Linked DNA regions of Rhinolophus ferrumequinum. The protein of the gene in region 3 interacts with the protein of the main gene of each other region in a pairwise test. Links are inferred from orthologs where the notes say so. Each region holds a gene or a part of one and is shown on either strand. Other genes may lie near its edges.

Region 1 (7,229 bases), on a different chromosome or scaffold from region 3:
CTGGCCGGAAAGCCTGCGGGCAAAGATGTAGTCACCCTCCTCCTTGAGGGCATAGAGCCTGTCCCCGCGGGTGACGCTCAGCTCGTCTGTGCACCGCGCAGTGAAGTCGTAGAGCGCCCTGAAGAGCTGCCCAGGCACCGCCGGGGGTGTGCAGGGCTCGGCAGCGGGGGCCTCCAGCTCAGCGTTGGTGTCAGAGTCTGGGAAGCCAGAGACGCTGTCATCCGGCGTGCCTGCGGGCCAGATCTTGTCCCAGAAGAAGGACAAGAAGGACAACCGCTTCCTGAGGAAGGGCTCCATGCTCCCGGGGCGTCCGGAGCCCGGTCACCACACTGCGCCCAGGGCCCTGCAGGGGAGGGGACTTCTGACGAGGGAGAAACTGGAAGGGCCGGTGGGACGGCAAGTGTCAGAGCTTCGCTGAGTGTCAGAGTCCATCACTGCTGGCAAGGGGTGTGGGTGACAGGTACTCCAGAGGGCCCCCTGCTCACTTCTGGGCTGTTCAGACCGGGTTGGGACACAGGGTGGCCCTCCAGCCCCCAGCCACATGTCAGCCGCTGCTCTCCTTGACCTCTAGGGTGTCTTGTGGGCAGGACTTGTCCTGGGCTGCTCAGAGGCACTTGGGGCTGGGGCAGGAGTGGCCCTGGGGCAGCCTGGGGGTGGGGTCTTGGGCGGCTGGGAACGTGGGACAGCCCCCTGCCTCCCCAACATGTACCCCTTCCTCAGGCCTAGGAAGGAGGGGGTGGCTGTCCTGCCAGGCGGCCAGTGTGACAAGGGGAGAAGGGTCATGCACAAGCGCACGCCATGCTAGCCCGTGACCTGAGTCCTGCCCTCAGAGGAGGGGTTCTATGAAGGGGCAGCACCAGCCAGTAGCTGCCTAGCCGTGCACTGGACTTGTGTGGACAGTTACCTGGTTCTTCCAACGTGGGCCAAGTCTTTAACATCATAAACACCCCCGTGCAGGACAGCTGGAGTTTCTTATGGGGTGGGGCTCAGTCAGCACAGAGCGGTGAGGGAGGAGGGGGTAAGTTCAGGGCCACCCTGGGGAGGAGGCTCTGACCTCTGACCGCCCTCAGAGAGATGCGCTGGGTGATGTGGGGGTGGCGGGTGAGTCCACGGAGGGCCTGTACCCACCACTTGCTCCTCTCCCCGGACCGCACCAGGCCCCCTGCACACTGAAGCAAGCTGCCCACTGCCCAGGTCAGCCTGTGCCGCTGGGCAGGGCGGGAGAGCAAACCCAGGCCGCCTGGTCCTGGTTCCGGATCCAGGAGGGGTTCAGGGCGGGTGTCTGGGTGTGTGGGCGGTTCCCAGCCCCAGGTAGCTTGCTCCTCCTCCCCCCACAGCAGCCCCTTCAGCACCGGCGTCATTATTGAGCCCACATCCCTCTTCTGACGACTGCAGACCCTCCTTCCACACCCCACACTCAATCAACGCCCAAACGTTGTCACGTTCTGTGAACGGGCCCGACAGAAGTGACAAGTGTCTATCCACCTGCCCCCGAGAGGCAGCAGACCCTGGTGTCTGGAATGCACCCTGGGGGCCTCCCTGCCACCGTTGGGGGAGCAGCTTGTACAATTTGCAAACTGTGACGTGGCAGCGACAGCCACCCACCATGGGCTGAAGGGGGCAGGGGTCCGAGGGGCAGGCTCCATGCAGCTGAGACTCATCCTGTTGCAGAGGATCAGGGAGCGGGGTCGGGAACAAACATTTACAAACACAGAATTAGGGGAGGCCTGGCAGGGCCTGCAGTGCCCGCCTATCACCTGCCTCCACCCCCCACCTCCCCGTATGAGCAATTTGGGTTTTTACAGATTGCTTTCCTTAAATCCCAGACGTACCTGACTCCTCCTAGGAAGCCCCTGACCCACCGGCCAAAGGGAGGGCCCCACTTATGCTGGCCGCGCTCGAGGTCAGCATTCAGATCCTGGAGATGCCCTGTCCCTCAGAGCCAAGGGGTCTGGCCTCTGGGACTGAGGACATTGCTCTGATGGTCAGAGCAGGCAGGGAGAGTCCTCCTCGGTCTTCTGGCGGGGCCCCCTTAGCCTCACCTCCTCCATGGGCCCTAACCAAACCCAGGGCTGGGAGCTAGCTATGTGAGGGGGAGGGCCCCCGGACAGCTCTGGATGTGGTCGGATGACCAGGTTCGAATCCTGCTGTCAGACTCACTAGCCGCATGGCAAGGTGCTGAGCGCTCTGTGCCTCGATTTCCCCATCTGTGAGAGCACTGAGCTCATAGCCATAGTGAGGACTCAGACCAGGTCTGCAGGGTGAGGAGCGGCCATCCCGGGCATTCAGGCTGAGGTTGGCAGTGTCCCCACACCATGGCTTCATGTGTGTTCTGTGGAGGGCACACGATCGGGTCTCTGGGGTCCAGGTGCACCCCTTGCCCCCAGGGCTATGACCTCACGACCACCAGGCTCACCACCCTCAGGGCGCCGGGTCTGCCAAGGGCAGCAGAGCCCAGTGGCTGCAGACAATGGGCGAGACAAAATCAGCTGGCCCATGCCTGGGAGGAAGGGCCCACTAAGAATGCACGTGGCCGGCCCTCGGGAACTATGCTGAGCAGAGAGGCTGGTCCTGGGGGCTTCACGCTGCACGATGCTACGAAGGCTCTCCAAAGGACACAATTGCAGAGATGGACCAGACGAGCGCTGGCCAGGGGCGGAGGAGCCCCAGGGTTGGGGAGAAAGTAGGCGCGGCTACAAAAGGCCAAGTGGGGGCCCTGTGGGGACAGGGCCGTCTGCCTGTGGACTGTCAGTATCACTACCCTGGTGGGATCCTGCTTGGCAGTTCTGAAGAAATAGGCAACGGGTTCACGGGGGGCCCTGTGTGACGTCTCACAACTGCGTGCCATCTACGATTACCTCAAAATTCAGAGTTTAATTTAAAAAAATTAGCGGATGAACAAGAGAGGAAAAGGGCGTGGGGCCAAAGAGATGTCAGAGGTTCAGGACACGCCTGGCGCCGAGAGGAAGTGAGAGCTGCTGTGGGTGGAGGGGCTGCAGTCATCTTCCTCCCTCTGCTTTGCATTTTCCCCCTTTCAGGTGCCAGACTCCCCCACTCAACCTTCAGACAGCCCCCCCCTTCCAAACAAGCCAACCCTGCCCCTCAGGGCCCCAATGGCGGCAGCAGCTCTCGTTTGCTAAGTTAGGGCCCAGGGCGGGGCGAGGAGGGCAGACACAGCCCCACTGGCTCCCTCCCCAGGCCCGACCTGATGGGTGCCTGGCCAGGGGACGATTCCTCCCAGGATGGGGTCCCCTGGTGGGTGGGGGTGCACTGGGGGCAGCTCTGGCCACAGAAGAGTTTGTGAAGAGAGCTCAGGGACAGACGCCCATCCTGGAGAGGCCACCACTCACCTCCGAAGGGGAGGAGACGGGTGACCAGGGTCAGCCCTGCCACCTCAGTCCTCCCCCGGAGGGCCAGGAGTGCCTGGGGTGTTAGGCTGCCCACGGCCGGTGGCAGACCCTGGCTGGCCCGCAAGGTCCCAGAGGTCCAGAGCCCAGTTGGAAGTGACAAGTGGGGCTCCAGAGGCGGAGAACACCTCTGAGGAGTTCCCTGGAGCTGTGGACACCCCGTTTGTCCAGAGCCGCGTCAGGGGCACTGGCGTGGGCAGGCCGAGGAGAGGAAGGGTGCTCTGGCAGAGGCAGGGCTCCTGATCCTGCTGTCAGTTCACATGGTCACAGTCTCTGGCAGCTCCACCCAGGGGTTCTGGGCAGCGCTGGGCCGGAGGTAGAGCAGGGGCGTCGGCCCCCACCCGAAAGCCTGGCAGAAGGGCTCCGGGCTGGGTCCCCAGCGCAGAGGGGTGGCCGGCCTCAGTTTGCTCCTGTCGGTGGAACCCTACTGCAAACCTGGCTTTCAGACCATGGCGGTGGCTCCCAGGTCGGGCCTCTGGTTGCGACGTCCGGAGTCCCCAGAAAAGGGAGCAGAGTCTATGGACAGTCCCCTCCAAGCTGAGACTCGGTTGAGAGGAGCGGTTCCTTTCGTGGAGGTTCTGGGACCAGAAAGCCCGGCCATGGCCGTCTTTTCGCAGCCCCTCAAGTCTTGGGACCCGACAGGGCGGGTCTTCCCCCCACCCCCGATGCCCTGGGCTTCCTCCCACCTCCTGTCCCCCCAACCCCTCACCCCCACCCTCTGCCCCATCCCCTTTCCGGACCCTCTACGGCGTCACAAAGGCCCGCGGTCCCTATGGCAACCCGCCGGACAGCGCAGTGCGCAGCTGGGCTCCCCGGCTCTGCGCACAGTCAAGCCGCAGGCTCTGCCCGCTCCGGAGGCAGGGCAAGTGGGTGCGCTGGAAGGTGGGGTACGGGCCTGCGGAGGCTGAGGGAAGTGGGGAGGCGGACAGGGGGTGGGGGAGGTGGGAGTCGGTCTCGGGGAGGTGGGCGTGGCGGGTGGGGGGGCGAGGGGTGTGCAGGGGCGTCAGGAAGGCGGGGCCTCTGGGGGGCGGGCCAGGGCGCAGGGTGGTGTCTTCCCATTTTCCACCTGGGAGACTGTTAGCGACTGGAAACATTCTGACCTTAGCCAGATCCAGGAGCAAGAGTTCCTTCCAGAGGCCAGAGCTGGACTTAGGCCGCGAGTCCTGGGGTCCTGGTCTCGCCTGACTCCCCACCCCAGATACCCTCTCTGCTGTGCCCAGGGCCTGGTCTGGCTACCCTTCCCCAGGAAGGTCAAAGGCTGGTCTTTAGGGAGGGAGGCAGACTCCCCGACCTTACTCTGCCACTTGGCGGTGCCTTCTTGGGCACGGCACCCGACCTACGGGCTGTCTCTGTAATCCATCCAAGCCTTGGCTTGCTGGGACAACCTGAGCTCTCCCAAGTGAAGCCGCTGGTCCCTGGGCATGGCGGGGACCTGGGAGAGGAGCCAGGGATGCTGGCTTCTTGTTCAAGGAGCCCCAGCTTGCAGGGCCAGTCCTTGTGGACTGGCAGCTTGCCCCAGCTGGGCCTAGGACCACAGCTGCATCCAGCTGTGACGTGCCCTGAGGTGCACTGGCCCCTCCCACTGACACCCAGAGCTGGGAACCTGGGGGGCAGGGAGGCATGGCCCAGAAGGAGGTTCAGGCTCTGGGGTCAATGGCAGGGCTCAATGCCTGGACTGAGGACAAACTCGAAGCATTTTAGCCTCGTGCCCCATCTGTGAGACGGAGTGACAGGATCTTACAACCTCATGGCCTTTTCCTGTGGAGTCAGTGAGCTCCTGAGGGCACGCGAGGCCCCAGGACGTAGCAGGGGCTGGGTAACTAGGAGCTGGCATCGTGAAGATCCTGAGAGCTGAGGCCTGGGGCCAGCCTGCCGCCCATGCCGGTCCTGGTCACCACGGGACTGCCTGCGGGAAAGCCTGGCTCTGCTCTGTACCTGCGGTGAGGTCTGGAGGGTCTGCAGGCAGTGGTGTCCCCGGGATGAGGGGGTGCCTGGTGCTGCTCAGACAGATCACACTGCTCTCGGGAGCCTGAGCAGCACCATGACCCCATTTCAGATGAGGCACTGAGACCTTTGCCAGGCCACACAGCTGCTCGGCAGCTGCCTGTGTGCCCAAGTCACTGTGGCCTCAGGACTCAGGGCCTCAGCCTTGCCCTGTGTCCTTACAAACAGCCGTCAGTAGTGTTTGCCCCTCCATGCCTACTGTCTCCCAGACTAGCAGACCGCCCTGTCGGCCCTGCAGGCAGCCTGTTCCGGAGAGAGGTGTCCCCATAAGCTCCTCCCCCTGAGAGGGACAGAGGGCCTGGTGTAGGGGGCACACACAAACACTGCCCCGGGGGAGCCGCAAGGGGCAGCAGAGGACAGCCTGCTGGTCCCAGCTGACACCCCACCCTCCACTCCACCCTCCCAGACGATGGATTTCCAGGTGACAGGCCTGGACCTGGACAAGAGGCAGCCGGACAGTCCCCAGCGCTTCCTGGACCAGGAGGAGGCCGAGGAGGCCGAGGACGGGCAGCTGCTGGAGCCGCAGGCATGGAGGACCTACATGGAGCACCGCACGGCGCTGCGGGAGTTCCTGACCTCCCAGCTGAGCCCCCAGCTGCTCAGGCGCCACCATGCCCGCGTGGAGCTGCTCCGAAGGTGCTCCTACCACATTGAGATCCTGCCGAAGCACCTGGCCCTGGGCGACCAGAACCCACCACTGCTGCCCCACACCATCTTCCAGCTGGTCGACCCCTGCAAGTTCCAGCGCATGAAGAAAGTGGGCGCCGCTCAGGCCAGGATTCAGCTGCTGCTGCTCGGAGACCTGCTGGAGCAGCTGGACCGCGGCCGCGCCGCGCTGGATGCCCTGCTCGAGTCGCCTGACCCACGGCCCTTCCTGGCGGGTTGGGCGCTCGTGGAGCAGCGGCTGGCGGGCCTGTCAGCCGTGATGGATAACTTCTTGGCAATGATGGTGCCTGGGCGCCTGCACATCAAACACCGCCTGGTGTCTGATGTCAGTGCCACCAAGCTCCCCCACATCCGGCTTCTGCTGAGCACCAAAATGCCCGTCATGTTCGACCGCAAGGAGTCGGTGGCCCACCAAGACTGGGCCACCCTGCGCTGGTTTGTCACCATCCAGCCGGCGGCCCCAGAGCAGTTTGAACTGCGATTCAAGCTGCTGGACCCACGGACACAGCAGGAGTGCCTGCAGCGTGGCATCGTCCCTGTGGCCACCTGCACCTTCGAGATCCATCACCTGCTTCCCGACCGCGTCTACAAGTTCACGGTCAAGAGAGCTGAGAGCTACACGCTGGTGTATGAGCCCTGGGAGGACAGCCTCACTCTGCACACCAGGCCGGGGACCCCCGAAGGGCTGGCCCCCAGTCTGCTGGGCAAGCCGGGCCACCCCTGACCACAGCTTCCCAGAGATGATTTTCTAATATTTATCCATTAATAAAGAGCAATATAAACACACAATTATAGAAACAAAAGTTCTAAAGGTGGAAGCAGCCACATGACTGCTTTCTGATTTGGTGCAGCCCGCCCACAAGACCCAGGACCCCGTCAGCCCCTGGTCCCTTTTCCAGGGGAGACCCAAGCTGGACCTTCCAGAACAGCTGACCCCTGGAGCAGGCCAGGGGCCAGGGATTCGGGTTTGTGCTGGGTCATACGGGTCCAAGCCAGAGGTCAGGCTGGAATGGGAGTTCGCCAGGGAGGTGCATCCAGGCACACCAGCAGGGCCTTCCTCGTCTTAGTGCCTCCGGTCTGCGGCCCAGTTTCACACCCTCACCCAGAACGGCAGCTGCCCAGAGGCCACCGTGGGGCCACGCAGGTCCCCTT
Region 2 (8,272 bases), about 11 Mb from region 3:
TTCTACACACGTGGTGGAGCTTGATTATATATCAAATGAATGGTAGAGACAGTATATACCATAGGCATTTAGATGACGAGTGCAGAGGACGGTGAGGCTCCGGGCAGGGGAGCAGGTGGAGCGCATTCCAAACCCGGGAAACACTGGCAAAAAGGCTTGCCGGTGTTAGGCGGTAGCTAGGAATAAGCCTAGCAATACGGGAATGTGAGGGCAGACCGCGGAGGGCTTTGAGGCCAGGCAGTGGAGTTAAGAGTCCAATGGACCAATAAATGATTATAGTGGGAGGCTCGACAGCCGGCTGAGTGTCTCGTAAGGGATGTAATACTCCACACAGTGAGGTGCAAGGCTGCACATGAACAGGTCATTAAGAACAGAGGGAGTGTGTCACAGAAGTTAAATGCAGGGGTGTGTGTGTGTGTGGGGGGGGACAGTTTGTCTCCACATGCTAACAACTCCCAAATCTGTACTTGTAGGTAGATATTTCGCTCCTGACCCTAACTCCAGCTGCCACCCGTATAGCCACTCATGGATGATCCACAGGCATCTCAAACTTCACCTGTCATCAACCCGAGAAGTCACTCTTTTCCTCCGAGGTCCATTCTACTGTGTTCCACATCCAACTACACAGCACCACCATCCACCCAGTGCTAAGCCAGTACCTGGGAGGAAGGCGAGCTGCATCCCCTCCTCACCCCCAACACCCAATCAGTTACCAAATTCTATTCCGTTCTACGTCATGGAGTAGGTGTCAAATTCTTCACAGCCCTGCCTAAGCCTAGATCAGCATCATCTCTTGCCTGGATTAATGTAACAATCCCCTAACTGGTCTCCAAATTCTCCAATAGTTTCCCAATGTCTTTCTGATAGCTTTCAATCCGGGCACAGCCTTCAAGTCTTTTGCAGACTTGGCTCCTACCCACCTCACCATCATTCATTCATCCGTTCATTCAGCCAACACTGAGTGCCTACCACGTGTGAGACACTGTTCTGGGGGCTGGAAACATAAGAGTGAACAAGACAGACAAAACTTTTTGCCCTGATAGAGCTTCTATTCTACGGGGGAGAGACAATAAATCAATATAACATATTAGGTGAAAAGACAAGTGCTAAGAAGAAAGAAACAGGGTGTAGAAGTTGGGAGTGTGGAGACAAGGGTGGGTCACAATTATTAATAGAGTAGTCAGGACAGGATTCTCAGAGAAGGTGAGGAACCGAGGGAGTAAGCCTGTAGGTGTACGAGGACAGGAACAGCCAAGGCAAAGGCCCTCACTGGCCATGTTTAAGAATAATGAAGCCTACACGCTGGAAATGAAGAGGGCAAAGGGGGAAAGCAGAAGAGGTTAGACTGGCAACAGCAGCAGATCTAGGACTTTTGAGTCCCTTGTAATCTTCTAGCTGTTGACTTATGAATGGACTGTAGGGGGTATGGGATATTAATGAGGAGGGTACTGTAATCATCCAGGGGACAGATGGTGGTGGCTTGAACAGGATGGTTTTCCAGGGTGCTGAGAAGTGGTCTGACATTAACTGAAGGTAGAGTCAACAGGATTTCCTTACAGATCAGATGTGACGTGAGAAAGTCTGAGGTTTCAGTCTTCAGCAAACGGAAGGATATCATACTGTTAGCTGAAATTAGGAAAATGTGGGAGGAGTAGGTTTGGCGAGAAGGTTTATTTTGAACATGTTAAATTTGAGATAGATTTCAAACTGGAGATGCCAAATAGGCAGCTGAAATACAAGAATTTGGGGTTCGTGGAAGAAATCAGGGCTAGAATATAAAGAAGGGAGCAGTCACCAAATAGATGGTATTTAAACGATGAAATGGATGACAGCACCAGAGAAGTAAGTGAAGAGAAGAGATCCAAAGACTGAACCTTGTGGCACTTCAGTAAGAGGTTGGGGACAAAAGAGGAACCGGCAAAAGATACTGAGAGGTAAGAAAGTAGTAACACAAGAATGTGATGTCTTGGAAGCCAAGTAAAGATACTGTAGCCAGGAGACCAATGTTCAATTGTGTCAGGACAAACTAAAGATGAGATCTGAAGAATGGATTAAGCAACTTGGGGGGTCAACACTCCCACCCTAACAAGAAAATGCTGACCATCTTTTACTTACTCTCTCTCCCTCTTTAGCCCCTAAACCACATTGCACTTTCTGCTCAGAGCAGGCAGGCCCCACTCACTTTTTTAGGTCTCAGCAAAAGGTCATGCAATCTGGGAAGTCTGACTCACCAAGACCACTGTTATCAGAGAAACTATACTTTATCATGGAATGTATTATTCTAACTTGCCTATCGGATTGTCTCTCTCCTAGACTATCTGCAAGTCAGGCACATGTCTAGCCTGTTTATTTCTTTACCCAAACCATCTAAACTAACACAGTGCGAATGAAGCGTAGTGGTAGACATCCCCTAAGTATGTATAGAACAAACGGATAAATACTAGAACTTGGTGGTGCGAGCAATCACTTCCTGTTGGACTAACTTCAAGGGGTGCCTAGAAGAGGGCTTAAAACTAGGAGTGGGCGTGGAGGGTGCTGACCACCCTAAATCCGCTCCAGGACTGGGTCTCTCATTCCATTACTTTTGCTAGCGTGTGCTACGGACCTCCCCTTTTTTTTATTCCAAGCTATTCCCCCTGCCCCACACCCGTCCACCCGCACCTAACCGCTCTCTTCCTCGCACCCACCCCCCGCCACTCACCCAGCCGTGTGATGCGCTCCCTGGGCGCCGCGGGCATGCCCCCAGTCCCATGCTCGGCCTCGAGTTCCTCCTGTTGCTGCCGTGCTTGCTGCAAAATCCGTCGGGTCAGCCGGGGCCCCACATACTCTTCCTCTTCGGTCCCGCGACCCCGCCGCTTCTCCCGGGCCCCTGCCCGCACCACGTCCCCAGCCAGAATCTGCTCGGCCAGCGGCGCGTGTTTTTCCTGACCTCCGGCCCCGCGGGCCGCCTTGAATTTGGGCATTTTTCTCCAAGAAGTTGCGGGGAAGGTTCACACGTGGAGACGGAAAATAAGTCCTGAATGCGCTTGCGCAGTGAACTCCCAGCGCCCAAGAGGCCACACGGAGGTCACAGCGCCCCCTATCGTCCGGAGGCCAGGAGTGCCGTCAGCGCCGTCCCGCCCGCTAAGAGCTCACAGGTCCTGGAGCTGGACTCCCAAATACACTTATTGCATTTAACGTTGGCTTCTCTAAGCTTTGTGGATATAGGCCCAGAGAGCTGCAAGCCTGGGTACTACATTCGGGCAGAGATGCCACTGGAGGCGTCACCGAAGCGCCTAGACACGCCCCTATTCTCGTGGAGCGACGACTAGGCGCTCTGTTTTTACGTCACTTCCGGAACCCCTTCCTCCCGCGACGCTTGCATCGGAGGAGTCTTCCCCAATGTGAGCGTTCGGAGGGCTCCGCGTTCCCACTGCTGCGTCCTGCCACCCTCCTGACCTTACACCATGGGAGTGACTTGGTAATACTGCGGGGGATTTTGTGGGGCGGGACTTGGGGTCGTGAAGGGCCCTCGGAGCCTGGAGGGTACCCGGGAGGAGGGTCGGGAGCAGGGTCGGCCGTCCCTAGGAGCTGAGCAAGATGTCCTCGGATTGTGTGGGTGAGGGAGACACCCTGAGGGCTGCGGATTCTCGGGCCTTGTTCCTTGGAGATACGCCAGCCTTCCTCCTGGGTCCCCCCCGCGACCAGGAACCTATCAGTGTTTGGGTACCTCCTTCGTATTTTTATTATTTTTTTTTTGGTACCTCTTCTTGCCGGTGAGGCCATAGTACTGCCCAGGGTGGAACTTTAGGGTCGGAAATAGGATGTGCGAATTAGGACCTATTTGTATGCAGGGCTGGAGCGGGTGTAGAATAGGCAACCAGGAGACTATCGTTTTTAGGCTTTCGCCTGCCCCTTCCTACAGCCACTAAATGCAGTTAGACGAGCCTGTCTGGTTCTAGTCTGGTTCTAGTTTGGCCATTGTAAGACCTTGGGTCTAGAGAGGAAAAAAAGAAGCTATTGGGAATTAGGGTGTTGGGGTCCAGGCATTACACTATGTGTAATTAGATGGTTGGCCTAATTTTTATGGAGTTTTCTTCTCACTAACGTTATAAGTCAGAGTGGCAAGGAAAGGTATGGGCCTAGTGCTCTTGGAGGTATTAGTTACAAAATGCTAAATTCAGGGCGTTTTTTTTCTTTTTTCTTTAATGGGTAAGTGTGAGCATTTCCAGTCACAGAGGGCTGGAGGCCAGGATGTCTGAAGTCCGCGGGAACAACTCCTGGTAGCCCAGGTTCTCGCAGGTTTGTCAGTGATTGCACTTTTGTTTCTACAGTTGACATCCCGAGCCTTCCTTAAGTTTTCTAGTGTGAAGGAAATGTGTGAGGGATGGGAATGAAAAGTTTGCAGCACAGAGGCTGGGAACCCTGGAAGCCCGTTTTGTCCGTAGAGAAGGCAGACAGAAGGAAGGGCCTCTCTGTGGGGACCCTTATCAACTTTTTCAGGCTCTTGGGACTTCTCACCCTAGAGCATCAGTTTAGGGGTTCTCTTATATTTCAAAATAAGGCACATCATCATCATTACTTACCGTGCTTTTTCTGGTGGAGAGTAGTAACACTTTTTAGCAACTGTAGGACTCTATCTTGATAGCTTCATTTAGTTGATTGATTATAATAAAGTAATGCAGTCTCCCAAAAGTCAGTCACGTATGACTGTCTTTATGATTTTTATATAGCTAAGTACCATCTGTACTCTTACTTGTTCATGTTTTCATTGAAATCTATTTCTTTTCCTTAACAGTATTTTAACAGGCACCTAGATCCCTAGGGAAGTGGTCTAGTGTGCTGGTTAAGACCACAGACATGGAGCCAGCTCTTCTGGCGTTGAATCTTGGCTGCACCACACCACGGTGTGAGACCTTGTTGTGCAAGTTGGTCATGCCCTCTGTACTTCAGTTTCTTTGTTTTAACACGGAGATAAATTATAGGACATCTTCTAGGGCTGTTGTGAGGATTCAGAATAATTAATTCATCTCAAGGCCGTTGGGCACTGTCTGGCACATAGTTGGGGCTTGGTAACCTCCCTCTCTGAGGAGGAAGCCAGTTTCACTCACCAGAGAAGGAAATCTTGGAAATAACATTTTTTGCTTTCTTGTCTTGATTAAATTCTTGTACGTGTTATTGCCTCTCCCAAAGTTTATACACTTGAGGCTTTGTCTTAGATCCTAGGGCTGTCAAATACAATTTTTTGCATTGGTGGAAGTGTTCTGTCAGCACTAATACAGTTGCCCCCAGCCACGTGTGGCTATGGAAATGCGGGTAGTGCAGCTGAGCAGTTGAATTTGTAATTTAATTTGTTCTGTTAGTTTAAATGGCTACATGTGGCTTGTAGCTGCTGTATTGGACAGTGAACGTTCAAAGTGTTAGAAAGTTGGGAAAAACATATGAACCCCCCATTGAGACTTTGTTCTTGATACAGTCAGAACTTAAAGACTTGCAAGGAAATCCTTTCTCGTTCTACGACTCACTGTTAACGAATGCTCAGTTTGTGTGCCCTACAATCTTCTCTTGAATGTTGGCACACATGCCATGCTCAGGAACTTCTGCGGTGATAGGTAGGAAGTTCACTGCACTGGTGACCTGAGACCTGTGCTCTGGTTCTCAGGGACTGTGGTCCCCTGTCGCCTCCTCTTTAAAACGAGAGGGTCCTGGTAAGTGGTCTCTAAGGTAACTTCTGGCCCTGAGGGGCTGTGAATCTGTGGGTGATCACATGACCCAGCAAGTGCCCGTGTGTCTCTGGGTACTGATGCTTCGGTCCTCTCCCTTCCAGTGTGTCCCAGATGCCTGTGGCTGAGGGCAAGAGTGTCCAGCAGACCGTGGAGCTCCTCACCCGGAAATTGGAGATGCTGGGGGCAGAGAAGCAAGGAACGTTTTGTGTGGACTGTGAGACCTACCACACGGCCGCCTCAACCCTGGGCAGCCAAGGTCAGTGAGATGGGTCTGCAAGATGGCTGGAACCTGGCTTGGAGCTGATAGGCCTTTGTGTTCATTGGAATCTTTCTACTCTTCTCCAAGGGTGTTTTTTTTTTTCTTTTCTTTTCTTTTTTTTTTTAAAGGAGGGCGCAGCTCAAAGTGGCCTATGTGGCAACTTGATGTTATCGGCACCACGCTCTAACCAGCTGAGCTAACGGGCCACCCCAAGAGTGGTGTTCTTGAACAGGTGGCAGATATGTTTCTGAATTCATTAATTCTTGGTCACTTAGCTCTTAGACGGGGCCTATGTTTTAAGTCTTTTTGCACTTTTAAAGCAATGTTTTTCAGAGAGTTGGTCACTAACTACATCAGAATCATCTGGGTTACTTGTTACAGGTGCAGTTTCTTGGCCCTGCTTGCCAACTGACTGGTGTTGCACGTCTCATAAGCTACATTTTAACAAGCTTCCTAGATGTTCTTTATGTCTCTGAAGTTTGAGAAGGTCTCCTTTCAGACTCATAAGTCTTTGTATAGCATTCTACTAGAGCTTTAGAGTTTTTAGAACTTTCTGCAGAAAGGCTTCCTGTTTCCCACACCTAGACAGTGCCCTTAGCTATCTCATTAGCATAACCTTGACCAATGAATCAGCTTTTGTTTTAAATGTATTAAGAGGTGAGATGGGCTGTGGGTGGTGGTGGTGGTGGTATTAAGGAGGCAAAGAGCATTTCTGACTGTGAGTTAGGGAACCTGTGAGTTAGGGAACCTGGGTTCTCTTAGTCTTGGCTCTGCAGTAACTTTACCTTGGACAGTTCCATCGCACGGTGATGGCGAGTCTAGATACACAACCAGGTAACTGTGTCCCAGCTCCCACTTGAGCTAAGTCCCGCAACCTGTGGCTGTTTTGGGGCTGATCATTTGCCTGTTTCCCCATAGATCCATTCCTTGAATTTCCCCTGCAAATTGCATTTACCAGGCACCCCTTTTTAGCTACCTTTGGCCAGAGAGGCACTGGGGAAGATGAAAGGACGGGAGAAAGGGAAACCCCAGTATTGCTCTCCCTCTCCTTTGGGGAGTGTCTCTGGCTGTGTCTCCTTCTTGGTTCTAGCTCCTGCTAGGCAGCCTTCATTCCTGGCTCTAATGACAGCACATCTTCTCTTTTTCCTTCCAGCCGTAGGGATAGCAGTGGCTCCCTGTGTTGCTAATCTTGGGATGATCTTATTATTCCATTTGGTTTTTTAGTTCTTCTAACCCCTGTGTTTCATTCCCTGTATTAAATCCTCTCTTATGAAACCATAAGATCTGGTAAGTAAGTGCTCTGTTTTTGCACCTTTCCCAATACAATTCTCTCATCTGTAAAATGAAGATAATTATTTTACAGTGTTGTGCTAATTAATTAAATAAGTTAATACGTGCAAAGCACTTAGAACTGAGATTGTCATACACTAAACCTTTAATGGTAGCTAAGAGCTGTACTGAGTTCCATCATCTATAAAATTGCAGTGTTACCATTTGTTTTACCTTCAGTAGGAAGGACATAATAATCAAAAGATACAATTACGAAAGCATTTAGAAAACAAAACATTTGTATATAGATAAACTACTCTCAGGAAATTACTTGGTGTGGGCTCTGTTTTCCTGATCAGACCTTTCTTTCCAAGGAGCTACTGTCTGTTTGGGGAGACAACACATTCGTGGCAGGACATGGAGTAGGAAGGGAAGAGCAGTGAACATTAGGTCCAGAGGCGTGGATTCAAGTTCCAGCTGCCGCTTGCTGGCTCTGTTGCCATTAGCCTAGCAGTTCTAACACTGGCCGTTAGCATCTCCCGGAGGGCGTGTTAACACAGATGGCTTGTCCCTGCTCCCCGATTTTCTGACTCAGTAGATCTAGGGTGGGATGGATCATTTGCATTTCTAACAAGTTCCCCCGGGGTGCTGCTGGTCTGGGTCCATTAGCTTCATTTTCCTCATCTATAAAAGGGGGGCAGTAATTGGTTCTGCTTGCTTTGTGCAGATAAGAAAGTACTTTATTGTGATTAAAAATACAAACAACTGGAAGTGCCTTTATTAAAATAAAACCTTAGTTGATTTTCAAAATGTTTTCAAGATAGCAAGAACACCTGCCGACTTACATGAATTAAGTATGTAGTCACAGTGAGTTTGCACAAGAACAGAATGACAGATCAACTTCGATGTCTTTTTTTTTGAGGGTTGAAGTGTTTGAACCGGATTTATCAGGCGGTGAAAGGTATGAACTGGCAGCAAGCAATCAGGAGGGATGTGGGAGAGGTTTGTGCAGAGCCCGATGTGTTCAGGAAATGGCAGC
Region 3 (7,505 bases):
TATAATCAAGCACTTTTGTGCAGATGGGAGAGAAGTAGAGCAAATGGTTCAAAAAGTTTGGGCATTTAAAAACATGAGCTATTGCCAAATTATTCTCAATAATGTTCTTCCAATTAACATCCCCATAGTGGACTGGAATGCCTATTTCCTTACATTCTCACCAACACTATTATTGAGCTTTTTGATCTTTACTAATCTCATTAATTGAAAGCACCACCACATAATTTTATTTCATTAATAGTGAGTTGGACCTCTTTTCACATTTATTAACCACTTGTTCTTTTTCCCTGTACCATCTGTTCATATCCTTTGTGCTTCCTCATGCCTGCTTTTTACTTAGATTTGTGGAAGTATTTTTGTCTCTCAAGGAAATTCATCCTGTCTTATTTGCTAAAAATAACTTTTCCCAATTTTCCTTTATTGCTTGACTGTTTAGAGCTACTTTTTTTGTATAGAAGTCATTTTTTACTTTTATGTAAATCAAATTTATCCATTTGTGGCTTCTGGGTTTGGGATCATGTTTGGAAAGAACTTCCAGACAAGAATTATTATTATTATTTTATTATCTTTTTAAAGATTTTATTGGGGAAGGAGAATAGGACTTTATTGGGGAACAGTGTGTACTTCCAGGACATTTTTTTTTCTTTCCCAAGTCAAGTTGTTGTCCTTTCAATCTTAGTTCAGCTTCAAGTTGTAGTCCCTTCAGTCTTAGTTGTGGAGGGCACAGCCCAGCTCCAGGTCCAGTAGATGTTGCTAGTTGCAGGGGGCGCTGCCCACCTTTCCTTGCGCCATTTGAGGAATCGAACTGGCAACCTTGTGGTTGAGAGCCCACTGGCCCATGTGGGAATTGAACCAGCAGCCTTCGGAGTCAGGAGCACGGAGCTCCAACTGCCTGAGCCACCTGGCCGGCAGATTATTATTTTTAATCAGTCAGTTTTCTTTTTAAAGAGCTTTTATGGATTCACTTTTTTTTAAATTCAAATCTTCCATTGTCCTAGAATATATTTTGGTATAAGAAGTAAGATGGGATCTTTTTATGTTTTCCCCCAGCTAGCCAGTTGTTCAGATCATTTACTGAATGCGTAACACCAACCTGCAATTTCTCCTTCATCTTTTACTAAATTCTTATTCACATTTAGGCCTACTTCTTAGTTACTATTCTGTCCCTTTGCTCTACTAGCTTATTGTTACTTTAATTATTGTAGCTTTGTGTTTTTCCTGACCATTCTTTTTGTTTTCCCAGACTAACTTTAGTATTACATGGTAAAGGCAGGTAAGAGAAAAGACGATAAGAGGAAGCAGAAATACCTTAGGCCTCATTAGGTCCTACTCAGTTTGGTGCCAAGAAATAAAACCAATCCAAGGAGAGAGGAGTCAACAGTATCAAATGCCTCAGAAACAATAAGATGCAGACTGAATAGTGTCCTCTGGATTTAGCCCATACTTTTAGAAATCACTGGTGTTCTTAGGGCAGATAGGTTGTGTAGAGGGGGTAGGTAGGAATTCATTTTAAAATAAAACGTTTTATTAATAAAAATTGTATTTTATCAGATAGGTTTAGTTTCTGTTGCATATACAGACAATCCAAATAAGTGGCTTAAAAAAGACAGTGGCTTTACTCTCACTCACATAGATGAAATTTGGATGCAGTCACTCTGCAGTGAGTAAGGACCTAGGCTTCTTTACCTTTCACTACATCATGTTAGTGATGCTTTCCATCTTCAAGATTGCCTCATGGTCCAGGACAGCTGCCTGAGCTCCTGCCATCATGGGCACACTCCAGGCTGAAAGAACTTGGAAGGGGTAAGTTTAAAAAGGGCATACTTCTCAGCTGAGTAGACTTTCTTTAAGAAGTTTTCTCAAAATTCCCATCCAAAAACTACCATGTAGATACCATTGGCTACCCACAATCTCAAGACTGTTGAAGTGTGAAAGAAGCTCTGGGTGAGGTAAGGGTGTTCCTAGGAATATCCGTAACCAGCCAGACAAGGTTTCATATTGTAGCATTGCCTTTTTGAATTTACTACAATTCTGGCAGCAAAGGGGCCTGGGAAGTATCTTTCAGCTGGACATATTGCTACCTGGAACAAAATTTTAAGTAAAGAGCGGACACTGGCTATAAAATAGTCACCAATAGTCCCTTTCATGTTGTGTTAAGATTGATAGACACTTACTAAAATAAATAGCTGTACCAGAAGTCCCACACTGGAGGGCAGGAGGCCAATTTTCATCTTGCATAGATGATTTTACAATTTTTAGTTAATAATAAATTTCATATAAAATTTTCATATAAGATTTTTGTCTTCTCTTGAAAATCTGAAAATTGGCAATATGCTGGGCCCACATACTCAATGGTCATCTTCAGCTAAATAGAAATGAGCTGCCTCTCAGGAGGGACATTTTTCCTCCAGTTAGTCACAGTCCCCATCTTTCCCTATTGATTTGACCTGCTCATTTAAATTACCTTCTTGTCTCCAGCAGGCATTTGTGTTTGTACCAGTCATTTTATGAATGAATAAATAACTGTTACAAAGAAGTATGCATAAAATGTGACAGTAGAATCATTAATTATTAGTCTAATAATTCAACAAGCATTTAAGTACTGCCAATCTGAGTAAAGCTATGGAAAAGGTGTAATGGAGAACATAGAAGGGCTGGAGAGGAGCTTCTGTCCTCACAGAGTCATTTAAGGACCTGACCTCAGTTTCCTTATTCATAAAGTGCATTAGACAATGTGAGAGCACACATCATTTACTGTTCTAAACTAACCTTAACGATAGGTAAGAATTCCAAAGCAAAGTCAAAGAAAATCTTAAGATGGAAAATAACCCAAGTATCAGAATCTGAGGTGTTACGTGAGCCTCGGAGGCTGATGAGAGAGAGATTGATGAGACCCACTTGTTTAGGTTAAGCTCCAAGGAAGGACTCATGAGTAGGCCCTGGAGAGGACTGTGGTGAGCACAGCCTGGGCCAGAGCTGGGTTGGCAGCATTGTATGAAGACTGTGAATGGCAGCCGACTTGGAGGCCGGAAGTGCTCAGACTGAACTCCACGCTCAAAGGTTTGGACAATGTCCTGGAAGCAAAAAAGCTTTGAAGATTTCTGTGTGAGAAGTGACTAAATGAAAGGGGGCTGTTCAGGATGATTCTGTCCCTTGCGGTTGTTATATATGCATTCACTCAGTTACTAATTGACTTAACAAACATTTGCAAACTGACATTTGAAATAATTTAGGTCAAAGCGTACTATGGAAATGAAAAGGAACAGAGGCAAGCTGATAAAGCAAAGCAAGGATGTCCAAATTCGATCAAATCTAGAGGATGAAGGACAATACTGAGAAAACAGCAAAGGAAACTAAGAAATACCAAGGTAGGGATGAGGGAGAAACCCAAAAAATTTGTAAACCTACTGGACAATGAAAAGAGCCCAGGTCACCGCAGGATTGAGAAGCTCCCAAGACTTTGGGAAAGAACACAAATGTTTAAGTCCTAGTGACCACAACTCCGTGCAGCGGGTAAACGTCCTTAAGGTTAAACAAGCAAAGACATAATGAAGTCTACCTCCTTGGTGCGGTGCAGTTACTCCCATTTCACCAGAGGAAACAGGCTCAGAATAGTAAACAATCTGCTTAGGAAGTAGTTGAACTGGGTTTATCTGACTCTTTGTCCCACAGGAATGTTGCCGTCTGATTAAGCCTTTCTTTTTTGAAACAAAATTGCGAGTGCCTGTAAATGGAGTTGTTTAATAAAGCGACTCACAAACCGGGTGGGACTAGGTCGGCTACCCCTGTCCCTCCAGGGGAAGCCAGGTGCCTGTCCTTCCCACACCAACGCAGAGCCAGTTTGCTCTCGCCGGAGCTGAGTCTTGAGCACAGAGAGGAAATCCAGCCAAAGACTAGGGGTCCAGGCCCGTGGCCGCGGAAACTCGGCGGTGGGCCCGGAGCGTGCAGACAAGGGCTGCTCTGTCACCGCCGCGCCCCGCAGACACCGAATGCCTGTTACCGGTCACCGAGTCTCGTGCTCCTGAGCGTTCCGCCCTAGGGCGGGCGGCCAGGCCTCCTCGGTTCTCTCCCGGAGGAGAGTCCAGGCCCAGAGGCCACGAAATCACGTCGGTGGCGAGAGGCCCGGGCAAGCCCCGCCCTCGGAGCCGCCTCTTCCGCTCTTGCCGGGTGGGGTCTGCACGGCCGCCGGGATCCGCTCCGACGCGGCCACGTTGTCCTGCCTCTGGCGCTCGAGTCCCACGGGGACGCCCGGATCGCTTAGCGGCTGGGCTCAGCGGAGCCGCAGCCTTGGCGAGCTACCGGTGCTGGGCACCGCGGCGCTGGGGGCCGCCCTGCCGCTCTGCGGGCCAGTGCACAGGCGCGTCTGGGATCTGGGCCCGCGAGGCGCCGCCCTCCGCCCGCCACGCTCTCTGCCCCACGCCGCCCAGAGGCAGCGAACCGGAGGGCGCGCTATAGAGTTGGGCGCCGCGCAGAGCTGGGCTCTGGGGCCCATGCCCCTGCGCCCCCGCGGGCCCGCGCTATGGCCTCCGGGAGCGTGGCCGAGTGCTTACAGCAGGAGACCACCTGCCCCGTGTGCCTGCAGTACTTCGCCGAGCCCATGATGCTCGACTGCGGCCACAACATCTGTTGCGCGTGCCTCACCCGCTGCTGGGGCGCGGCGGAGATCAACGTGTCGTGCCCGCAGTGCCGGGAGACCTTCCCGCAGCGGCACATGCGGCCCAACCGGCACCTGGCCAACGTGACCCAGCTGGTGAAGCAGTTGCGCACCGAGCGGCCGTCGGGGCCCGGAGGCGAGATGGGCGTGTGCGAGAAACACCGCGAGCCCCTGAAGCTGTACTGCGAGGAGGACCAGATGCCCATCTGCGTGGTGTGCGACCGCTCCCGTGAGCACCGCGGCCACAGTGTGCTGCCGTTGGAGGAGGCGGTGGAGGGCTTCAAGGTGAGGGCCCGGCGCGCCGCGCGGGAAGGGGCGGGAGAGCGTGTCGGACAAAGGGAGGAGAGATCCAAAGAGGCTTCCTTTTTTCCGCCTAGAAAATGGCTGAGCAGGTCGTGTGGTTCACAGCCGTCATTTCCTCTCTGTCTGCTGCAGAGCCTCGGCACACAGATTTGGGAGGAAAACCTGTAGATTGAGGAAGCCAGAAGCCCCCCCTCCGCCCCCACTCTCCTTTCCTTATTTGCGTCTGTTTACCGGTTCACGGGCACATAAAGACAGCCCACGGAGCCCTCCCCACTCCCGTATAAAAGATGCGTGTAAAACCACGTGCACATCGGCAAGCCTCAGAGACGCTCGTACTCTGTCGCCTCCTAGTTGATCTCAGACACATTAACTGGCTGTATACCCGCCTGGCAGGTAGATGCCCACCACCTACTCGAGAAGCATTTCCCCAGCACTGCCTGTGCTCCGTTCTGTTCCAGAAACTCATGGAAAAGAACACAACTCTTTACTGCTTAAGTTATTTAACCACTTTGAAACTCATAAGAGGTAACACAGTTATTACGAAGATTAAGTTAAAATGTGGATGGAGCCCCTGTGAACTCTTGAACCAACAGACTAGCACAGTTAAACAGTAACACGGAAACGAAGTCATTTCCTCAGTGTGCTACTGTGGAAGAGCTCCAGTTTAATTCCAAGCCTCCTGGTCCTGTCACCTTTCCACTAGGCCATGCAGTAGGCATCCTTCCAGGGGCAGGTAGTTGACTCAGTTTAAGTTACACACAACCTGCCAAAGGAGGGGTGTGGTGACCCCGTGTGCCTGGTTCAAGGACAGGCTGTAATCCCGGACTTGGCTTCAGGAATGTGAGTTGCATGTGTGATAAGCGGAAGAGCCATGCTGATGCTAAGATCTGCCTAATCCTGAACTTCCCAACTGTTTTTGCTTTTCTTAGGAGCAAATCCAGAACCAGCTGGACCACCTAAAAAGAGTGAAAGACTTAAAGAAGAGGCGTCGGGCACAGGGGGAGCAGGCACGAGCTGAGCTCTTGGTAAGTAAGTGTCTTTGGGATTCACAGATAATATCACTTCTGCTGGTTACTCCTTCTTTTGTAAGGCTTAACATTGTCCAGTCAAGTCTTCCAGACTTCTAGGTGAAGGTGGGGAAGACCATATGGCCGTTGGGAACTAACCTGGAGACCCGAGCATTCCCATATTTTTTGGGGAAAGGATGGAAGAGCTAAGGTTGGGAACCCTGGAGAGCCGACCTATCCAAAGTTTAAACTGCTAGCTTTCTTTAGATCACGGGTGATCCTTGACAGAGCTGACATAGGTGAAATTCTCGGGCACAGCCAGCCTCCTTTGGTACCCTTCTGCAGACACATGCCGACAGTGGCTTTGCATAAGCCCCACTGTTGCTTCTTGCTGGAGTGTTCCCTTTCTTGACAACACTTCAATTCTGAGCTTTTCACTTTGTTTCCTTCTTTTAGTCTCCTAAAGCCTTAGCGAATGGCTAATTTATGACAGGGATATTTGGGGGTTTTGTTTTGAAAACCAAAACAAAAAGTAGAGACTTTTATAATAAACACTTACATATCCACAATCTAGTTTTTTAAGCATTTTTTTGAACAATAAATAGTAAAAATTTCTACCCATTAGGAGTATTTGCATGTGAAAAGCAAACTGTTAGACCAGTAGTATATAACACTATTTTGTAAGAAATTTTGTCAGCCTGGCCAGGGTGTCGCAGAGAACTTGTGGACGGGGAACTTATTCCCATGATATCCTCAAATGCCACCACTTGTTCTGCCCACACAAGCTGAGACCTCAGCTTTCCTTGCTTGAAAGTAGGTCTGATGGATGGAGAATCTTCTAGTGAGCTTGAGTGGAGTCAAATCATTATGCACATGGCCTCTCCTCTGTGGGAGGATTGTCAACGAGGGGAGATAGTCCTTCTCTGATCATCAGGGAACCTGGACTTAGGAATATAACCTCTGTAGGCCTTCAGTTTCCTCATCTGTGAAATGGATAGGTTGGATTAGACTTGTTCTTCAGCAAGGCTAGTACTACCCTCTCAAGAATCAAGTGGTTGGGGAGAGTAGGGCAGGGAGGTTACTTGTCCTGCAATCAAGAAACAATCCCATTAGCAGCCGGACGGCTCAGTTGGTTAGAGCACTATCTCTTAACAATAAGGTTGCTGGTTCAATTCCCATATGGGCGGGTGAACTGCACCCTCCACAACTAGATTGAAAACAATGGCTTGGAGCTGAGCTGCAGGTGGGTGGCTGGTTGGCGCAGTGGTTGGGGCATGGTGCTCAAAACACCAAGGTTGCCAGTTTGAGTCCCATATGGGCCAGTGAGCTGCGCCCTTCACAACTAGACTGAAAACAATGCCTTGACTTGGAGCTCGGCTGCACCCTCTACAAAAAAACCACACTGTTCCCCAATATTCCACAATTAAAAAAACATGCCAGCAGAATTGCCCCCCACCTGGGGGCCAATAGCATGCCCTTGGAGAAGCACTGTATTAGTTGATCTTCAAGGTCTCTTCCAGTGTAAGATTTCCATTTCTAAG
Region 4 (8,009 bases), on a different chromosome or scaffold from region 3:
TATATGAGCCCACCTGTCGGACTTCTTCAATTTGCTGTTGGAAGAAGGATTTCAGGGGGAAAAAAAGAAGTGAAAAGACTGCCTTCTTCCTTTGCAAACTCAACTACAACACAGCATTTTATCACCCAGACTTAGAAGTTGCAGAGGTCAAGTCATATCCCAAAAACCACATGAAAAGCCTGATACATCATGGCTAGCTGATAACAATGATGTAAGTCTTGTCCCAAGATCAGTTCCACAAAGGAATTCCATTGTATTTTCCCATTTTAGACTTGGCTTTGGGTAATAGATAATAGAAGAATTAAGAGACAGGAGCCAATGAAATTTCCATACTACCACGGCTGCCCTACAACTAGACTAGGTCATCAGAAACTCACCACTTCAAACGTCCCTGGAGCCACAATCAAGTTGTCAATCACATTGTTTATTTTTGTCACCAGAGAAAGGATAGAGGCCTGAAAACAGCAGGAAACAAAAATAAGCTACGGTGAAAAATTACAAGCAACTTCTCAGTTTGAATATTCCTCTTAATCCTTTCCATACAAGCTGAGTCAATTCCCACATAGTGCTTTAAAAACACTCTGACCCTCTGGCCTTGAGCATTCCAGAAGAGAACTGTTTGATCTCATAGATTCCCCAATAAAAATATGAACACATCTGTAAATATTTATATATTCATCTGGCACTCTCCCTCCACCCACAATGAGAAGGAGAACAATCAGTTGCTCCCCCCTTATCCAGTTTTGCGTTATGTGGTTTGTTACCCACAGTCAACTGTTGTCCAAAGATATTAAACGGAAAATTCCACAAACAATTCATAAGTTTTAAATGGCGCGCTGTGAATCATCCCTTCGTCCAGCATATCCACACTATATTCGCTCCCGGCCAGTAGCCCTCTCCATAGTAGCCTAAGGCCACGCCAGTGCCTCAGTCGTTCACCATTCATCTTACTTCATCATGTATGCGTGTATCATCTCGCATCATCACAAGAAGAATAAGAACAGTACAATAAGGTATTTTGAAATATCACATTCACATAACTTTTATTATGGTATATTATAACTGTTCTATTATTGTTAATCCCTTACTGTGCCTCATTTATAAATTACATTTTAGCACAGGTGCGTATGTATAGGAAAAAAGATGGTGTACATAGAGTCCGGTACTATCCATGGTTTCAGGCCGCCAGTGGGGTCTTGGACGTTATCTCCACTGTAAGAGGGGACCGCTGTGAACTCTCTGTGGAGTGTGGGCTCTGATCACAGTAACCTCACCAGTATTATTCACTTCTCTGGCTTTCTTAGTGAAATCTCAGGAAGGAAGCCAAAAGAATATACCTGTTCAGCAGAATTAGGAGCAAGGTCCTGATTCCTCTTCAACAAAGCCTCACTGAAGGAAGTTTCATCAGGCGCTGGCTTGACCCGGGGGAAGGCCATTTCACACTAAATCAGAAACAAAGAACTATGTACTATCTCTCAAAACCAAGAGGAGAGGTTGTTTTTCTGTTGCTACAATAGAATAAAAATAGAAAATTCTACAACACTTGTTTTTACTCCTTAAGATGTTCAAACAAGGATCCAAGCTGGAGGGAATAACCATAATCGAAGCTGTCACTACTTTTATAATAACAGATAGGCCAGAGATACAATTAACATTCAGACTACAGTCACGTCACTGGCAACAGTAGCCACAGATCTGACCCACCCTGCTTACACTGTTTTTGCATGTAAGCAACACACAGCTGACTCAAAACCCCAACTCCATTCCCTAATCCTTTTTCCTACTGCAACCACCATTTGACTTCATTTACAGGGAGATGCTGGGCTCCAGGAAACCACAAGTGAAGAGTGTGCAGGCTCCATTTCTATGGCAACGGGTGAACAGGGGCTATGGTACTCACCAAGTAGAAATCAAATGGGATGTGTGGCACAAATGGCCTGAACCTAAAACAAGAAAAACCACCCAAATTAGGAACCACAGAAATCAAGCGACTTAGCATGATGGGTCCAACTCCTTTGGCTTTGTTTCTGAACCACACAGCAGGATCGCACCAAAGCAGGTATTAGGCCCCTCCAAACTCCTGTTTAGGTGACTGTCGTAGACAGTAACCAGAGCAAAGAGGTTAAAGCTGGCACTCACCCTCCTCCTGGGCCTCCTCTGGAGCCAAAGCGCCCACCTCGACCTCGGCCTCTGTCACCCCTAGAATACACGAAAATAGACTCGAACGTGGTTTCGGCCTCGTTAAAAATATCACTCCACCATACCCCCGGTCATACAATTTCAAGTCAGCCTGCCGCCATCGCCCTGAACTTTCCCTTGGGAGCCGAGAATCCCCGCTCCGCGGCTGGCGCCCGCCTCACGTCTCCCGGTCCCGACGGCCAGCCTCACCCCCGCGCCCTCGTTCTGGATAATGTAGTCACAACTACACCAAACGACGGCGGGGCTCCCACATCGACCCCTGTAAGAAATACCCCATAATTCCCGGGACGCGCCAACCCTAATACTTCTGAGACTCGAGGGACTGCTCATTGAGTCATTAACGTCGCGAAACGTTCATCGGGCATATGCAGCCGGGCACTTGGCAGTGAGGATGGAGGAGCACGCTCCAGCCTCCTCAGCCTAGATGGGGGGAAGCGCGGTGCTCCTCCCGGGATCGGAGGACACCCCCTCCCCTAAACCCCGCAGACAGGCGTCAAACCCGCCTCCCCACTCCTGGGCCCCACCCCCATCCCAGGCCCAGGTTTCCCCGCCTCCGCGGCCTCCGACCTCCCACTCGCCCCGACCCCGAGTTCTCAGGTTTTAGGGCAGCCCCCAGACACGTGGTCCTTCCAGGTCCTCCGACTCCTTTCGGTCCCCCTCCCCAAACTTTTCGGTCAAACACCCCACACATTCCCAGAGGAATCCCGTGCCCTTACCTCATGGCGTCCTAAACCCCGAACAATGGAGACCACTCCAACCGCCCCTTGCCTCGGAGAAACCGATAACTGGAGAGGCGGCTTGCCGGCGTGTCCCAACAAACTCCGGCGTGATTGGCTCCCGCCTTAATCCTCCGCTTATGCCTATTGGTTTACTCTGGCAAGCCTGCTTAGGAACCAATAAAAAACGCCTGTGTGTCAGGAAGTAGCCAATAAGAATAGACTTGATAAATGACAATTTTTCTTACCAGACACTAGATGGCGTTATATAAAGATGTGAGCGAGGCCACGCAGAACACTTTCTATAGGAGTGATGAGTAGCTGAGATTCCAGATAGCAGAGTGGCGCAGCGGAAGCGTGCTGGGCCCATAACCCAGAGGTCGATGGATCGAAACCATCCTCTGCTATCGGATGTTTTTTTCCTCCCTCATATACCGTACAAGTTTTAACTTCAGTAAGTGTAAACACCACTTTCTATTTTTTTCTGCCTCTAAAAAGCAGCCTGGAGAAGCTGTTTTTACCATTAGCAAGTGAAATGGGGGGGAATAGGAAAGGAATTAGGCAACAATGAACACTAACGCAGAAGCGGATTTAAGAAAAGGGGGCAGTATATTGACTGAATCAGAGCGGGGAAAACACTGATGGTGAGGGACTAGAAGCAAAACTGAGGCAGCTTTGGAAACAGGTCTCAGAAAAAGAGCAGGGAAGTAGTAAGGACAGAAGGGCCAGACCCATCCCCGTTGCCCAGTTTCCCCCATCTCTCTTCTTCCCTCTCTACAAACTGACGGATTTCACCCTTTTAGGAGGTTTTAACAGCCACATATACGTATATACTGTATTTGCATTTAAATCAATCATATTACTATGTGCGTTGTCCCTCCTGTAATCTTTCTCTTCCCTACTTGCCTCCTTCTTTTGCACTATTACCTCCCAGTCTCTGTTAATTGAAAGTTACACACTCTTTTTCTACTCTTTTAGTTGGTTACCCTAAAAATTACAACGTGCATCCTTAATTTAGCAAAGTCTAATTTTATGTAATACTTTTACCGTCTTCGTGAGAAATGCAGGAATAATTTAATTCTATTTACCACCATTACTCCCTCCAGAATTATATACTATCGCTGTTGTGTAATTCTTTTAAGTACTTTATTGATGTATAATTTACTACAACAAAATGCACAGATCTTAAGCCTACAGCTCGAGAAACTTTGAGTGATGTAGCCCGTCCATGTAACCACCACCAGATCAACATAAAGAAATTTTTATCCCTTCAGAAAGTTGGTTCATACCCCTTTGCCCCGCCCACAGAGACAATCACTGTTCCGATTTCTATTATCATAGATGAGTTTTGTCTGTTCTGGACCTTCATTTAAATAGACTCAGAGTGTTTGTACTCTTTTCTGCCTCGCTTCTTTTGCTTGACACGTTTCAAGATTCTTCCAGGGTTTTGCATTTATCAGCAATTAATTTTTTTGTTTATGAGTAGCATAAATACACCATAGTTTGTTTGTCCTTTCTCCTCTTGATGAATTCAGGACCTCCAACTGGCTGAGACACAGGCAAACACATTTGGGTTGTTTCCAGTTTGAGGCCATTATGAATAAAGCTGCTATGAACATTTGTGTACAAGATTCTTGTGGTCAGATGCATTCCACATCTTGGTAGGTGTAAGATATATGTGCACAGAATTTAAATTATATATTTTCAATCTCACAAGGCATTAACGCTTATTAGTTAAATTTGTGGTCCTTTAGATTTACCGTTGTTAACGTTCTTGATTCTTTCCTGCAACTCCAACCATTCACCATTCATCTGGACTGATCCTTCTGCTGGAGAATAAGTACCCCTCTGCTGGTAGCTAATTTTCTTGGTTGTGGTTTGTCTGAACGTCTTTGTGTCACCTTTGTTTTTGAAGGACATTTTTTCTCTGGGTATCGGTTTCTAGATGGGACTAATTTTCTTTCAGCACATTTACAATATTCTTTTACTGTCTATGGCTTCCATTTTTACTGTGAAAAAAACGTTGTCAATCTAATGGCTGCACCTTTGAGGGTACTCAATACGTTTTACTATTTTAAAGGCTTTATTTTTTATTTAATTTCCCGCACTTTCACTCCGATGGATCTAAATAGGGAATTGTTTTTCATCTTATTTGAGGTTTGTTGAACTTGAATCTGTGGCTTGATGTAGTTCACTCACTTTTTAAGTTTCTCAGCCATTATCTGTTTACATATGACTTCTATCCTATTATTTCCCTCTGTCCTGGGCTCCAAATAAAGGTGTTTCAGACTTTCTCATGCTATCCTCTATGCCTCTAACTCTCTCGTATGTTTTTCATGCCTTTTTATCCACGCTTCATTCTGGGTAATTTCTTCTGTCCTTCCTTCTGATTCATTACTTGATCCTCAGTGGAGTCTAACTTGCTGTGAAACCCATCAATTGGTTCTGAATTTTGGTTTTTGAATATTTTGGAGCTGGATTTTCTACCTACTCTTAGGTTTTCCCTAGGAATGCAGCCTTCCAGGAACCTAACCCCAAATAGTACAGTGGTTTACCAGGGTTCTCACCCTTAGGGACATTTGGACTCCAACTTTTGTCTCACTTGCCCCACACAGCCTTTTTTCCGCCACCGATGCGGACCAGCAAATGACCCCAGGGTAAAAGCAGTCCCACTGCTGGTCTCACCTCTCTATTTTCCTGTCCTTTTCTGCTCTCACACCAATAATTCCTCACTGTTTTACTAGTGCTTTGATTTTTAAAAGATTTCATCCAACATTTTAGTTGTCTTCAGCTCAGGGATTAGACACATTATTTGGTCCACTATTGCTGATGGAGGAGCTCAATTACTAAATTAGATTTCTAGTCCAGTCTTTTCTTCTGAGCTCCAGCTCCACTAATTCAAGGACCTATTGGACACCTCCACCTGGGTATCTACAGGCACCTCAAACCCCATAAACTGAAATTATTATAATCTCCCCAAAACCTGCTTCTTCAGCTTTTCAACGAATGGGTCGATGTCACCTAGACTTCAGTTATTTGTATACTGTCTTCTCTTCCTGAAGTCCAGTTGATCTAGTTACAAAACATCTCCCTATAGTCAATAATACAGTCTTATGCGTTTAGACATTTAAGAGGGTAGACCTCATGTTAAGTGTTCTTCACACGCACGCACACACACACACACACACACACACACACAAAGACACAAGGAAACTTTTGGAAGTGGTGGGTATGTTTATTACCTAGACACTGTGGTGATGGTTTCATGGGTGTGTAAATATGTCCAAACTCCTCAAATTGTATATACATTAAATATGTACAGTTTATTGTGTTATTATATCTCAATAAAACTGTTTTCTTTAAAAAAAAAAATATATATATATATATATATCCCAATCTCCTACTCCTATCTACGTCTATGGAATCTGGAGCCCCACTAACAGAAAGAACAAAGACATCTCCTCCCAGGTAATTCCAACATCTTACATCCTACATCAGGGTTGTAAACATAAACTGCAGCCAGTAATGACAATGAGTAAACAGGGTGGCTAAGAACCGTGAGAAACTAAACATCTCAAGGAGGTAAGGGGTACTTGGTTCCAGCTGACGATTCAGGGAGAGATGCAGGACCTACCTTACCAGCTCTGCAATATTCCAAGACAAGCCAGAACTCCAAATATTCATGTACCATATGCTGGCTTTTAAGCGTGGGCAACTAAATTAAATATGAATATATATGTATATATATGTATGTATATATGTATATGTGTGTGTGTGTGTGTATATATATATATGAGAATGCAAGACAAACAACACATGCCCGCCATCTGAAGTTGGTCCATGGGCTACCGTTTGCTCTAGACCATAATTATATTCAAAATTCTCCTAATATTCCATATATAGAAAACGTACTTCAGTATTCTGCTCTCTCTACACAAAATACCTTTCTCATTTTTCTACCCTTGTTTAATTATTTCTCTTTAGAGGTTTTCCTGGCTCCGATGCAGGCAAAATAATGCTCACCTGGGCCTCTATGCAATGTATCCCATCTCTCTGTTTTGGTGCTTAACGATATTACATTATGGCTATTTATCCCAAATAGAGCTCCTCAAAGGTACGACTACATATATTTCTCTCTTTTGCCCTCAGCATCTAGCTGGTGCTTAACCCGTACGAGGTCCCCTGGAACTGTTTGCAAAACCAAGGAAGTTTGGGGACCTTGGGTCCTGCCCAGGCGCAGGTTTGGAGAGGTTGGCGGCAAAATACTGTCAATGACGCCTGTTGACCGTTAGAGGGCAGACGGATTCCACAGCGGTCCCGCCCTGCGGCCCAGCGGTCAAGTGCCCCCAAAACTTCTCCCCAAATTACGCCTCTCCTGGTCATTTTCAACACCATCTCCCACCGCCACCACGAACCCCATTTTAACAATCCTTCTCAACACAAAACACGCACACAGTCACATTGCCGGAGCGGCCCTGAGGTCACACCTCTTCCCCCCTCCAGCCACCTTCAAGCTCTCCCTCCCTTGCCCACAACCATTTGGGAACTAAAGAGTTAACTTCATCCTTCCACCGGGTCCTTTTTCTCCGCGGATGCGCTCCCTGGGGCAGGCGGGGTGGGGTGGGGCGATCCTAGATGGACTGGATCCCTGGGTCCCAGGGCTCCCCTACTTGAACGTCTTTTCCAGAAACCCGTCACCCTCCTGTCCCACCCCCATGCACACACCTCCACACACTCACACCTTGTCCTGCCGAGAGATCCCAAACCAACAGTCTTTCTCTCTTCCCCCGACGGAACCAGGTGAGAAAGGACAAGATGTGGGCGCAAGACGCCCCCGGTGGCTCCCAAACTCTTCTCTTTTCAGTCCTCCTTCCCATCCCGGCGGGGGGCCCCGGTCGGCGAGGGCCGCCTCTCTGAGGGGGGCAGACACTGGGCGGCCCAGGAGCGGGGAGAGAGTCTCAGGGGGCAGCGCGCGGGCTGTGGGCAGGGGAGAGCCCGCCACTTGGGGGCAGGAAGGAAAGAGTTAAAGATCCGGGATTGGCTCTGCTGTCACCGTTTCTGGGAGGGGAAGCGGCCGGGAGGGAGGGTTCGGAG

What was found.
Region 1: the proteins of zinc finger protein RFP (region 3) and FNDC11 interact in binary tests that used the Homo sapiens proteins (3 or more experiments, as listed by UniProt). The two-hybrid records come from large-scale screens. The link is inferred for Rhinolophus ferrumequinum from reciprocal best matches to the Homo sapiens genes TRIM27 and FNDC11.
Region 2: the proteins of zinc finger protein RFP (region 3) and BYSL interact in binary tests that used the Homo sapiens proteins (3 or more experiments, as listed by UniProt). The two-hybrid records come from large-scale screens. The link is inferred for Rhinolophus ferrumequinum from reciprocal best matches to the Homo sapiens genes TRIM27 and BYSL.
Region 4: the proteins of zinc finger protein RFP (region 3) and ILF2 interact in binary tests that used the Homo sapiens proteins (3 or more experiments, as listed by UniProt). The two-hybrid records come from large-scale screens. The link is inferred for Rhinolophus ferrumequinum from reciprocal best matches to the Homo sapiens genes TRIM27 and ILF2.

Annotation. Positions count from the first base shown.
Region 1 is NC_046306.1:485,451-492,679, reverse strand, and holds FNDC11 (fibronectin type III domain-containing protein 11), read left to right. Parts: upstream 1-4,228; 5' UTR 4,229-4,289; intron 4,290-5,817; 5' UTR 5,818-5,820; coding exon 5,821-6,801; 3' UTR 6,802-7,017; downstream 7,018-7,229. Other genes in the region: tyrosine-protein kinase Srms, read right to left, coding at 1-297.
Region 2 is NC_046286.1:11,618,531-11,626,802, reverse strand, and holds the start of BYSL (bystin), read right to left. Parts: upstream 3,262-8,272; 5' UTR 2,964-3,261; coding exon 2,702-2,963; intron 1-2,701. Other genes in the region: MED20 (mediator of RNA polymerase II transcription subunit 20), read left to right, coding at 3,447-3,460, 5,807-5,961. UniProt on the Homo sapiens protein: Required for processing of 20S pre-rRNA precursor and biogenesis of 40S ribosomal subunits. May be required for trophinin-dependent regulation of cell adhesion during implantation of human embryos.
Region 3 is NC_046286.1:448,657-456,161, reverse strand, and holds the start of zinc finger protein RFP, read left to right. Parts: upstream 1-4,261; 5' UTR 4,262-4,519; coding exon 4,520-4,939; intron 4,940-5,886; coding exon 5,887-5,982; intron 5,983-7,505. UniProt on the Homo sapiens protein: E3 ubiquitin-protein ligase that mediates ubiquitination of various substrates and thereby plays a role in diffent processes including proliferation, innate immunity, apoptosis, immune response or autophagy.
Region 4 is NC_046305.1:52,588,834-52,596,842, forward strand, and holds the start of ILF2 (interleukin enhancer-binding factor 2), read right to left. Parts: upstream 3,020-8,009; 5' UTR 2,921-3,019; coding exon 2,916-2,920; intron 2,200-2,915; coding exon 2,140-2,199; intron 1,944-2,139; coding exon 1,901-1,943; intron 1,443-1,900; coding exon 1,338-1,442; intron 456-1,337; coding exon 378-455; intron 35-377; coding exon 1-34. UniProt on the Homo sapiens protein: Chromatin-interacting protein that forms a stable heterodimer with interleukin enhancer-binding factor 3/ILF3 and plays a role in several biological processes including transcription, innate immunity or cell growth.